Caenorhabditis elegans: one gene and its partner. The protein of the gene in region 2 interacts with the protein of the main gene of each other region in a pairwise test. Each region holds a gene or a part of one and is shown on either strand. Other genes may lie near its edges.

What was found.
Region 1: the proteins of meg-2 (region 2) and W03D8.8 interact in a two-hybrid assay, tested with the Caenorhabditis elegans proteins (one large-scale study listed by BioGRID).

Annotation. Positions count from the first base shown.
Region 1 is NC_003279.8:2,790,089-2,795,506, reverse strand, and holds W03D8.8 (BAAT/acyl-CoA thioester hydrolase protein), read right to left. Parts: upstream 3,821-5,418; 5' UTR 3,819-3,820; coding exon 3,718-3,818; intron 3,526-3,717; coding exon 3,419-3,525; intron 3,376-3,418; coding exon 3,270-3,375; intron 3,167-3,269; coding exon 2,875-3,166; intron 2,830-2,874; coding exon 2,716-2,829; intron 1,495-2,715; coding exon 1,258-1,494; intron 1,213-1,257; coding exon 1,126-1,212; intron 861-1,125; coding exon 612-860; 3' UTR 531-611; downstream 1-530. Other genes in the region: W03D8.1 (uncharacterized protein), read left to right, coding at 5,198-5,331, 5,378-5,418.
Region 2 is NC_003284.9:13,922,112-13,928,093, forward strand, and holds meg-2 (Protein meg-2), read right to left. Parts: upstream 4,019-5,982; 5' UTR 3,998-4,018; coding exon 3,859-3,997; intron 3,806-3,858; coding exon 3,503-3,805; intron 3,222-3,502; coding exon 1,602-3,221; intron 1,559-1,601; coding exon 1,327-1,558; intron 1,171-1,326; coding exon 1,030-1,170; intron 986-1,029; coding exon 961-985; 3' UTR 532-960; downstream 1-531. Other genes in the region: Protein meg-1, read right to left, coding at 5,358-5,385, 5,432-5,572, 5,623-5,901, 5,947-5,982.

The sequences.
Region 1 (5,418 bases), on a different chromosome or scaffold from region 2:
ATGGCTGTTAAAATACAGAAAATGATTCAATTTTTAAAACTAATTTTCTAACGCTTTTTAAGATAACTTTAATTGACCGCTATAATTAATGATCGCCCTTTAGTTTTCTTTGGCAACCACTGGTTGGCGCACAGCCCCGCTACATACCTTTTTGCAATCCTTGGCACTGAGTACGTCCGCGGAATCCATCGGTATTGGTGTAGTAGACATTTCAATTGAAGTGAGCAATAGAAGCAAGCTTAATAGTTGATTTTTGAGGATAAAAATTTTGAACTGATTATCGATTTATTATTCACAGTTATTTTTTAATGAGTTTGATCCCTTGGTATCATCCTCATTTCTTCAATTTCATCAACTATTATCCCCAAAAGTTAATCTACGGTGCTTTACAAATGATTCCACGTAAATAAAAATGAATGAAATTTCTCGCGTGAAGCTTGTGATATATCACCCCACTGAAAGAGCGCTTCTCACAACGTCGAAAATTCCTGAAACTATTTCTGACGAAGCAAGTGAAGAGATCTTTTGCTGCATAAAGAGTTTTAGTGGAAAGGTTCACAAAATGTTCAAGTTCATAATGTTCAGACAATGTTCAAAGAAGTTTCAAATTATCACAATTTGCTCTTTTTTCTCGGCGGCACCACAACCGTCAGTCGATCCCAATCCTGAATTTTCTTTGTATTTCCAAGAGCTTTTTGGAAGAATTTGATAGTATTGGACCATGTCTTCTCCTGTGATTTTGCGTGTAGAACCACTTCTCCACCATATCCACAATAGAATCCCTGGTATTTTGCGTAGACGAGTTCGTGATGTGGGAAGTATGGTGGCTCCATAATGTGTCCTCCATTCACTAGTTCAACCTGAAATTTTTTTCAGTTATCAGACTCGATTTTAAGATAAAATTAATAATATTATTAGAATAAAAAACCTCTGAGTTAATCGGATTATTTTCGGAATTTCGGTTGAAAAAAAAAACGTCTGATGGAACTTTGACTGTCTGGAGTTCTTTAATGCTTAACTATTATTTTTTCTGATAATTCTCTTATCAATTAATCATATTGCCACTCAGCTTCACCTGAATGGTGCCAGAGCTCAAAAATTGCTCCAAATTAAAAAAAAAAGTACCTCCACATCATGCCCGGTCTCCTTGAGTCTTCTCTGTCTGTAATACGTTGCATGCACCGATGGTTGACACAAATCATCCACGGATCCCTGAAGCTCACAAAATTTCCGCTGAACGTCAGCTCGAACACTTACAATTACACGAATTTTGACATCACTGGGGATTCGTTCCCATGGAATTTCAGTTTCTGGTGTCAATTTTTCTGTCATAATCTGGAAGTTTCTATGGGAACACATGACTCCATTAATGAATTGACAGTGCTCCAAAGTGACTTGGCCATGGGAGAGATGAGGAATTGGGGCACCGTTTTCTTGCATGAAGAGGTAGTCAGATACGACTTGGGGGCCATTGATGGAGACCAGGGCCTTGATCTGGAAATAGTTTATGGTTATTGTTTAAGGAGGATTGGCAAAGTATGAAAAAAAAAACAGTCTAGATCAAGGGTGCGCGGCAGTTGCAGTTCGGTTAATTTTTTTGTCGACAAATTCGGCAAATCGGCTGATTGCCGGTTTGCCGATTTGCCGGAAATTTTCATTCTCGTCATTTTTTAGAGGGATTTTTAATAAGACGGAATACTTATAACTGTGCCTTTTTGAAATTTTTATCTGTTTTCTTTAGATATTTTCATAGAAATTGCTTACTTTTCAAAATAGATGTAAGAACATTCACAAAATGCGTACAATTTTGTAGATAAAAATTGAAATTCTGAAATTTCCAAAAAAAAATTTTTTAAATTTTTTCCTGGTTTTTTGAAGCGAATTTTTCGTTTTCATTTCAAGTTCCAGATTTTACTAATTCTAAAAAAAAACTGTGTCATGGTATTGTAACAAGACAGAAATCATAGGAACTATCAAAAAAAATTGTTGCAAAACTTTTGCTTGTTCAAAAAACGCTCTCCTCCGCCCGACCCTCCCAAAATTTTACTTTTGGCAAAAAATCGGTGCTCCGTGTCACTTCCGCTTCACTTCCTCATAGGACTGTTTTGGAGCACAAATTATTGCACTTGCTCCAAAAATTTCTATGGCAGTCTAGTTGCAGACTATTTACACATACACGCTACCCCTGCACGTGCTTTCTATTAAATTTTAAACACTTTTTCGAAAGTATGTGCGGCAGACAGAATTTGAGACAGGGGTGGGCGGCAAACGATTTTTTTCCGGCAAATCGGCAATTTGCCGAAACTGAAATTTCCAGCAAATTGGCAATTTGATGGAATTGAAATTTTCAGGCAAATCGGCAAAGTGCCGGAATTGGAAATTTCCGGAAAGTCGGCAAATTGCCGGATTTGAAAATTTCCAGCAAATCAGCAAATTGCCGGAATTAGCAGTTTACGCAAATTGGCAAATCGGCGAATTACCAATTTGCCAAATTTGCCGGAAAAACGGCAATTGCCGAAACTTTCGGCAAATTGATATCCAACAAACGGCAAATCGGCAAACCGGTAAATTGCCGGAATTGAAAATTTCCGGCAAATCGGCAAACCGGAAAATTGCCAATTTGCCGAACAGCAATTGCCGTCCACCACTAATTTGAGCTGAAGTTCGTCAACTATCATTTAGCGCCATTCACCTAGAACAATAAATTCTGCCTACCTTATCGCCATGTCTTGTGGTGAGCAAGTCCACAATAGTTGCGCCAAACGAGACTCCCTGTATACCTATCACATTTTTTGTGAATGGTAGATCAATTAAGTAGTTGATTGCTTTCTGGAATTAGCTTTCTAATTTTAGTGCTCAAATTTTACAACTCACTGCAAAATACTCCATATCTACATCTTCCATTTTTTGCGGTAAATACTTGAACTGGAAAAAGGCAAGACATAATACAACGAATCCCTCTGAAGCTAACATAGCACCCTTATGCTCATGGATTCCTCCACCAGTTCCTGAAATATCAAGGACCACTGGGAAGGGACCATCACCGGGAGGTTTGAAGAGTGTCGCACAGAAATCTTCCTCTAACTCGGTTCGTATCAATTTTGGGTGCATCCAGTGCTTTTTGATGTAGGTAGAGTCGATAAGGGTTCCGGATGAATCAAAGAGTCTGAAATTTTGTATGTTTGCAGGGGTTTGTGTACATAGTCTTGTGGCGGAAATTTTTAAAGGAAGTGCAACTAGCAAAAGTTTAGAAAAAGTATAAAACTTACTCCAACAGATAATAAAACGGAACTGGCGGAGTACACCGAAGATATCCACCATATGCAAAATCCTCACATGGCTTCATTCCAAGGAACAACCCCATCGGATCAGCATCTAAATATCTGATTTAGAGTGACTCTAGGTATTGTGTACCTACCGTAATAAGATCCTCTAAGGGGCTTCGCATACTTCAAGTCGATTCTTCCAGCGGGGTCCGCTTGAAATGTTGCTTCCGATTTGTGAGTTCCATAGTCATGTTTCAAGCTGGAAAAGTCTAGGTTTAAAATTTTTAAGCCTCGATACCGCCCAGCATTTTCTAGGTGGCTGAAAAAAGAAAAACTCGGCCACCTCGGTCATTTTTTGGCCTTGTGCCTAAATAGCAATTACTAAACTACACAACACATCAATCATCAGTATCAAAAATTTTTGAACTTAAATAATGTACTGAAGTCTTACATCATTCGAAACGTGTAAATCTGATTCGATCGGAGCCCATCTGCCACGATATCGATGAGCTCATTTTGCATTGTGTCCGGTTTGTCCACATGAATCGGCATTGCTGAAAGTTTTTGGTTTTAGAAGGAACGAAACATAGTGAGTACAAATGGGTGAGGAGAGTACAAATCACTGTTATAGTTATCAAACACAGTTATCAATCACACGACTGGAGGGAGGCGGGTGGTTGAAAAGCTTCTTATCAATTCGTGAGAGTTTTAATTTTGACTTTGGTCAGAGAAAAATGAGCACTCTGGGGAGGTAGAAAAGAACGGTACTGCTTTTTTTGCGGCGATGAAGGGAAAAAGTTGGTGGCCGAGTTTTTTTTTCAATCCTCGGCCACCGCCCCACTTCAGTTTTGTAAGAGTGGACAAATTTTTCCTATCCACGGCCATGGTCATGGATCTGTGGGTGACCTTGGTTGAGGTTCATGCAGTTTGTCCGTCATTAACTAATTTTCGTTTAGAAGGGAAAAAAGTTGGTGGCCGAGTTTTCTTCCATTCTAGGCCACGTTATTGCTGATGACTTTGGTTCTGTAAGCCTAGTTTTCCCTATCCGCGGCTATGGCCATGATTCTGTAGAATTGTGGGTACCTATAAAAACCAGTGACATGGCCGAGGTTTGTGCACTCTCACTGTTGCTTCAAGTTGAGGATCACAAAAAAGATCCTTTAAAAATTGGTGGCCGAGTATTATCTCTTCGAGGTCACGTTGAAAAAACGCAGAGAAAAGAACAGAAAAAAAATGTTTTTTGGCCTACATTTTGTCGGCTGCTAAGTTTTATTAATGACGCCATTTAGGTTTGTTATGAGGGTCGGGGTGTAATTTAGGGGCGACAATAAAAGGTAGGCATGTAGGTAGGTCCATAGGCACTCAGGAATATATGCAACAGGGGTGCGCCGCAATTGCCGTTCGGCAAGCAAATTTTCGGCATTGCCGAAAATTTTGAAAACCGGCAATCGCCGGAATTGCCGATTAATATGCCGGAAATATAAATTTGAAGCTTTTTATAGATTTAGGAGGCTAAACATGCATTTTAATGAATAATTATCTATTTTCAAGCTCCAAATTATTTAATCCTTTTGACCGTTTTTTTTTGAATAATGGCTAACCGAATACTAAAAAATAAGGTTAACTTTGTTCAATTTCCAAAATATAATAAGGTTTGAAAATTGCGGGAAATGTCCAGCAATCAATTTCGGCAATTGCCGAAATCGCCTATTGCCGGAAACTTCCAAAACCGGCAATTGTCAAAATTGCCAATTGCCGGACATTTCCGATTGTGGCCCCAAAAAAGTCCCAGCCCTGGTTGGCATGTAGAACCTGAAATATTCGCGTAAACCTTACACGTCTCAAAAATCCCCGTTTATTCTTTCCCGCTAGCTATTTATATTCCAAGAATCCCTAACAATTTCAATCATTTCTACAATTTCTCCTCTCAAATGGTTTTGATGGGAAAATTAATCAATTTTCTACTCTTGCTTCTGTTGGCTCGTGGAGCAGCTACTGTGGACTTCTTGAAGCTGACGGACGCTGAAAATGCCGAACGACTAGAAAAGTGTGGAAGTGTAGAATTGTGAGTTCGGCCTGCCTGCCTGCCTACCTACCTTCTTCGTTTCCAGATCGAGTTATTATTATTCATACACCACCGGAAGAGAGAAAC
Region 2 (5,982 bases):
ACAATTTGAAATAGATTTTCATAAGCTGTTGTTTTTACACTTTCAAACATGAAACAGTTTTCTCAAAATCATGTTATAAGTTACTATCGAAGATCTATCTTTTGCCAATTACCAACATGTAAACTTTCAAAACTCACATTTAATTCATTCGAAAAGATAATCCTTTGGGCTTCAAAGTTTCTTTATTCTCGTTACAAAGATTCTGAGCAAAATAGCAAAACCCGGTTCCCTTACAGAATTAAGCTATGCGGCGTTAAAAATGACAGTTTCCTGCATAAAAATTTTAATTACTGGAATAAAATAGTACCTTATTTCCCCAAGCCTGTCTCAGAAATTTTGTTCGGAAAACGTCTCGGTCAACTTTTTGTTGACAATGTTTTACCCTCTTCCCCCCCTCATACTTAGTCACCGGACTCTTGCGGGTCCAAATGATTATTTTATATCTAGTTATTCATTCCTTTTTCCTTCACTTCACTGCTTTGTCGTAATTGTGTCATTGTGATTGTTGCCTGATGAATAAATATAAATAAATAAATAAAAATAATTGTATGCATTAAAATAAACAACAATAAAAACGACCGGTGAGGTTATACTTGACAGTGGCTAGGAACCCGAAAAAAATTGAGACTGAGCACTATGAGATACAAGTACAATACAAGATGGGCTGCTTGTTGAAAAAAAAATCACAGGAAAAAACTAGAAGTCGTAAAATTGGTTAGTATGGTAAGAAGAAATGGTATGGTAAAAAAGTGGGTAATAAGGCTGTTATTGGTAGGCGAGCCATTGATCAAAATTAACTGCTGAGAAGTTCCTGTTATGAGATACAAGTACGATACAAGTTGGGCTGCTTGTTGAAAAAAATCACAGAAAAACAACTAGAAATGGTAAAATTGGAAAGAAATGATATGGTACAAAATTGGGTCGTAAGATTGATGTTTGTAGTTGAGCCAATAGTCAAAATTAGTTGCTGGGAGGATCCTTGTCACTGAAATTATAAAGATGTGATATTTAACTATTTTTCCCGCTTACCTCTGATTGTCTGATTTCGGTGAATCAGCCTGGTTCAGATCATCTTCGGGATGATCTATATCGTTGCGACGAGAAGCTTCTCCTTCTGCTTGGCGTGGGAAAGATTGGGCCAGCAAGTCGCTCAATGCGTTGACATTGGCACTGAAAATTATAATTGGTACTTTTTTTATTGGAATACTTTGATGTGCTCGGCTCAGATAAAGAATTAATTGGTACGCGTGTATTATAACCAAACTTTTTTTTAATGCAGCGAGTGCCAAAAAATGCCGAGGCATCGGACTGGATTCCTGTGTGTACCTGGCATCATCTGCTCCTTCGACCGTCGCTGACACTGTTTGATTCTGCACATCCGCCGAGCCTGAGGCTCTGGCGTTTGAGCTGTTGAGAGCAGCAGACCTGGCATTCAAGTTAATAATGGATTGGAGGAAGTTGATGTTCGCTCCGCGATACTGCATTTGCACCATCGTCCGCCAGTAGTCGTAAAGCATCGCCTTTAGTGTTATTGAGAACTTTAGCACTGGAGTCTCACCTAAAATTATTTGAAATCAAAGAATACACATTTTTCCACCTACTGGTTGATGTGCCTGAATCATAATTTGGATCAACTCCAGGAAGTAGGTCGTTGTACAATCGCCTTGCAAATTGCTCAAACTCCAGAGTGTTCAAAAATTCTTCCTCTTGCCTTATCAGATCAGGCAAATGAGGTGCAGGACGTGATGAGCTTTGTTGAACTGGGAACTGTTGATTCCCGGAGCCGTGATTCATAGATGAGTTGGAGGGACCTGCTGTGGAACTTGTTTCAACTTGAGCAATTCCATGAGCCATCAAGAAGCTTTCCTGCAGACTGGGCAACTGAGGTGCAGGGCGTGATGAGCTCTGTCCCATTCGGAACTGTTGATTCCCGGAGCCGTGATTCATAGATGAGTTGGAGGGACCTGCTGTGGAACTTGTTTGAATTTGAGAGAGTCCATGAGCCATCAAGAAGCTTTCCGGCAGATTGGGCAACTGAGGTGCAGGGCGTGATGAGCTTTGTTGAACTGGGAACTGTTGATTCCCGGAGCCGTGATTTATGGAGGAATTGGAGGGACCTGCTGGGGACCTTGTTTCAACTTGACCAATTCCATGAGCCATCAGGAAGCTTTCCGGCAGATTGGGCAACTGAGGTGCAGGGCCTGATGAGCTGTGGTTCATTCGATTCCCGGAGCCGTGATTCATTGCATTGAAAAGACCTGACAGAGAACTCGTTGGAATTTGAGAGTTTGCATGAGCCATCAGGAAATTTTCCGGAAGAGCAGGCAATTGAGGTGCAGAACCTGATGAGCTCTGTCCCATTTGGAACTGTTGATTCCCGGAGCCGTGATTTATAGATGAATTGAATAGACCTGACAGAGAACTCGTTGGAACTTGAGCGTTTGCAGGAGGCATCTGGAAGGTACGATCTCTCGAACGGTTATCCATGTTCATTGCTCGAGTATCTGCATTTTGATTATTTGGCCACAAACCCATGTGTGGAGGAGCTTGAAAGCCGGCATTTGGAAAACCGTATGGCATATTTGAAGTCGGATATCTTCGTGCATGAGCCCTCTGAGCAAGTTCATAATCGTACATGTCTACAAGCCTGGGAACTCCGTGAAGCCTGGGAACACCGTTAGACAAAGGTCTTGGTACGAAATTCATTGGAACGTGGGAATCGCCTTGAGCCATCTGATTACCCATGTTCATTGCTCGAGTATCGGAACTCTGACCATTGACCTCAGGACCAATGTCTGGAGCTTGACCGCCCGTATTTTGTAGACCGTTTGCATTATTTGGAGCCGAATGTCCTTGTATTTGAACCAATCGTGAAGATCTATTGTCTGCCTCTCTTTGGTAATTATATTGCAACCGGAAAATTGGAGCATGTTCTGTTCGTGATTGCGATGACATGGTGGAAGAAGATTCAGAGCGATTTCGATTTCTTGTATCCTGAATCACTGGCTCTTGGAGGCTCGTATTATTGCTCGTTCTCCCATCTCCAATGCTGCCAAATTGATTTTTGACGCGATGTGTGGCCCGGGATGATCTCCGTTGGACAGTCCGGCTTTCGCCTTGAAACGAATTATCAGAAAAACTGTATTCGCGCCACTGATCTACGGATGGTAGATTGATGGAAACGTTACTCCGGTCACCTGCATACTCATCGCGATCAACACCTGAAACAATTTAGCTTATTAATATATGAAGTGCCAAAGAATAAATGAAGTTGTACTTATGTTTCCGATAAATGTTTCATATAAAAAATAAATAGAAATTGGAACCTTATCAATTTGTTATGTTTTGATAACTTATTTTCATTCAATTATTACCCGGTACTTCAGTAAGAAATAAAGAGAGAAAATTTCATACAACATGAATATATGATTCTCCCGACTGTTGAAGTAATGCACTGTGAACGTAGATAATTTTCTAATCAAAGTTTAGATTTGAGGCTCACCTGGAACCTGGTTCTGATGTGAGGGCGCCTGTCCTCCTTGAGACTCGTCTCTCGATTCATATGTCTGTCCACGCCGAGTTGTTGATCGTGGCGGAAAATTGCTTGCATTCCTGTTGTCCGTTTCCTGTGCAATTGTACCACTTTGGTTAGTTCTACTTTGTGTGGACGCGGATGAATCGGATTGAACGGTTGGATCATCGGCAAGAGACGTGTTTCCAGAGAAGCACAGCCAAAAATTCTCCAAATTATTTGAGCCATTGTACATGTCTGTCCAATAAAGTTGCTGCTGGTTGTGAACTGCACCTGTAACAAACCGGTTTAATAAATATAGTGAATCTAAATTTATTTTTTTTTACCTCCAATACTACGCATGTTGGTCGAAGAAACTGATTCATCACGATTCCCGACTCTCGCTCTTTCTTGGGACTGTTCGCGACGGTGATCTCCGGGTGGTGGGAGATTCTCATCCGATGAAAGATCATCACAATTTTCCATTGCCGCGCAACAAATGGAAACCTAAAAATTGAAAAATTGTAGAAAAATGTTAAGAAAAAAGAAAAAAAAGAGATTTCGCAACAACTGCAGATGAAACAGAGAGCGGACCACTGTCCACGTGTAATGGAACGAAGACTGAATGGAGTGCCTCGGAAGGAAAAGTGAGAGGGAAGAGACGCAGCAAGTGCGTGACGGAACTGTGACGATGGATATGATGAAAACAGTGCACACGCGAATTATTGATTTTACCATTGTAAACTGGAACAGATAAAAATGGAACGGTTCTTATTTATGCATGATTTTTTTCTTTGAATTTGAAAACCTAAGTTAGCTGTGAAAGGGCGAATGTGATCGTTTGAAATTTCTCAGAAACCTTATGAAATTCTGGCGTTTGAGAGTTTAAAGTATGCAGAAATTAGAGTTGTAGGGATTTCAAGAAAAAATTGCATAGTTCAGAGTTTCTCAAAATAAAATTCTCTGAAGTCTTATTGGTGTGCAATTTTCTGCTGTTGAACTATTTAAAACAGTGCTGGCCAATACTCGCTTTCAATTTTTCGGCGACTATTTAGACTTTTCCAATAAGTATGCTCCAAAAGCTATACGTTTCAGCAAGAAACTTTTAACTAAAAAAGTGATCCACACGTTTTTATCTACTTAACCTAGTTAAATACGAGCATTCGTTGATCAAATGAGGTCTTAGGTTGATCACTTGAAAAATATAAAAATGCACCGAATCAAGCCACATCATAATTGAACTTTACAAGTTTGTCCTACCATTAAACCTGAACTCGTTTTCTCAATATCTTCATCATGTGAAAAACGGTATGACTTTTAAAATAAACCAAAATAATTCAATGGGTATTTGTTTTTGAAAGATATATGTTTGGATTAGTAATTTCCAGTTTTTACAACAAATTTCAAACATTTAGAACAAAATATTTTTATCGAAATAAACAACAATAGTCGGTGAAATTGTACTGGACAGTGACTGGAAAACCGGTAAGACTGAAACTGAGCACTATGAGATACAAGTACAATACAAGATGGTTGAAGAAAATCACAGGAAAAAGAATTTCTAATCGTGAAATTGGTTAGTGTGGTAGAAATAGAGAGTGTTATGGTACAAAATTGGGTAATAAGATTGATGTTGGCAGGCGAGCCAAAAGTCAAAATTAGTTGCTGGGAGGTTTCTACTATGAGATACAAATACAGCACAAGATGGGTTGATGGTTGATGAAAATCACAGGAAAATATAATTTGTAATTGTGAAATTGGTTAGTATGGTAAAAATAGAATTGTTATGGTACAAAATGGCAGCACAGTAAGTGTGTTCTTGTAGGCGAACCAATTGTCCAACGTCTCATTCATTGCTTGGCAATTCCTTGTCACTGAAAAAAAAATTGCTTGTTATTTATATAAGTTCACAAGTCTCACCTTTGCTTGTCCGATTCTTGTGGCTCAGCTTGTTTCAAATCACTTTCAGAATGAACATTCTTGGTGCAATCAGGAGCTTCGTCATCTTGTTGGTGGAGGAAGGATTGAGACATGTAGCCTTTCACAGAGCTGGCAATATCACTGAAAAGAAATAATAGTACATCGGAATTCGTTTATTATGGTTAACATACCTTGAAGTGCTTGGCTCAGGCGAAAAGTTGATCTTTTCATCAAGCATACGAACAAAATTATCCATGTCCATTGTGCTTCGCTTTTTGATGCCACTGTATCTAATCATCTTCTCAAAGGATGGTGTTTTGGGCTTAGTTGAAGCTGCTGGAACTGGCCCGGCATGACTTTGTGAAGAATCCAAATTCTCATCAAGTGTCTCCAAGGTATTATCAAGACTGGCAGCGGGACGAATGTACATGGATCGGCTTTTGGATGGCTGTGAAGTCGAAGCATCCTCTCTGAAAAAAGTAGGATAGAAAACAAACAACAGGCAGAGTATGCACCTGGCAACATCCGAAACCTCAGCCGCAGTTGGAAGA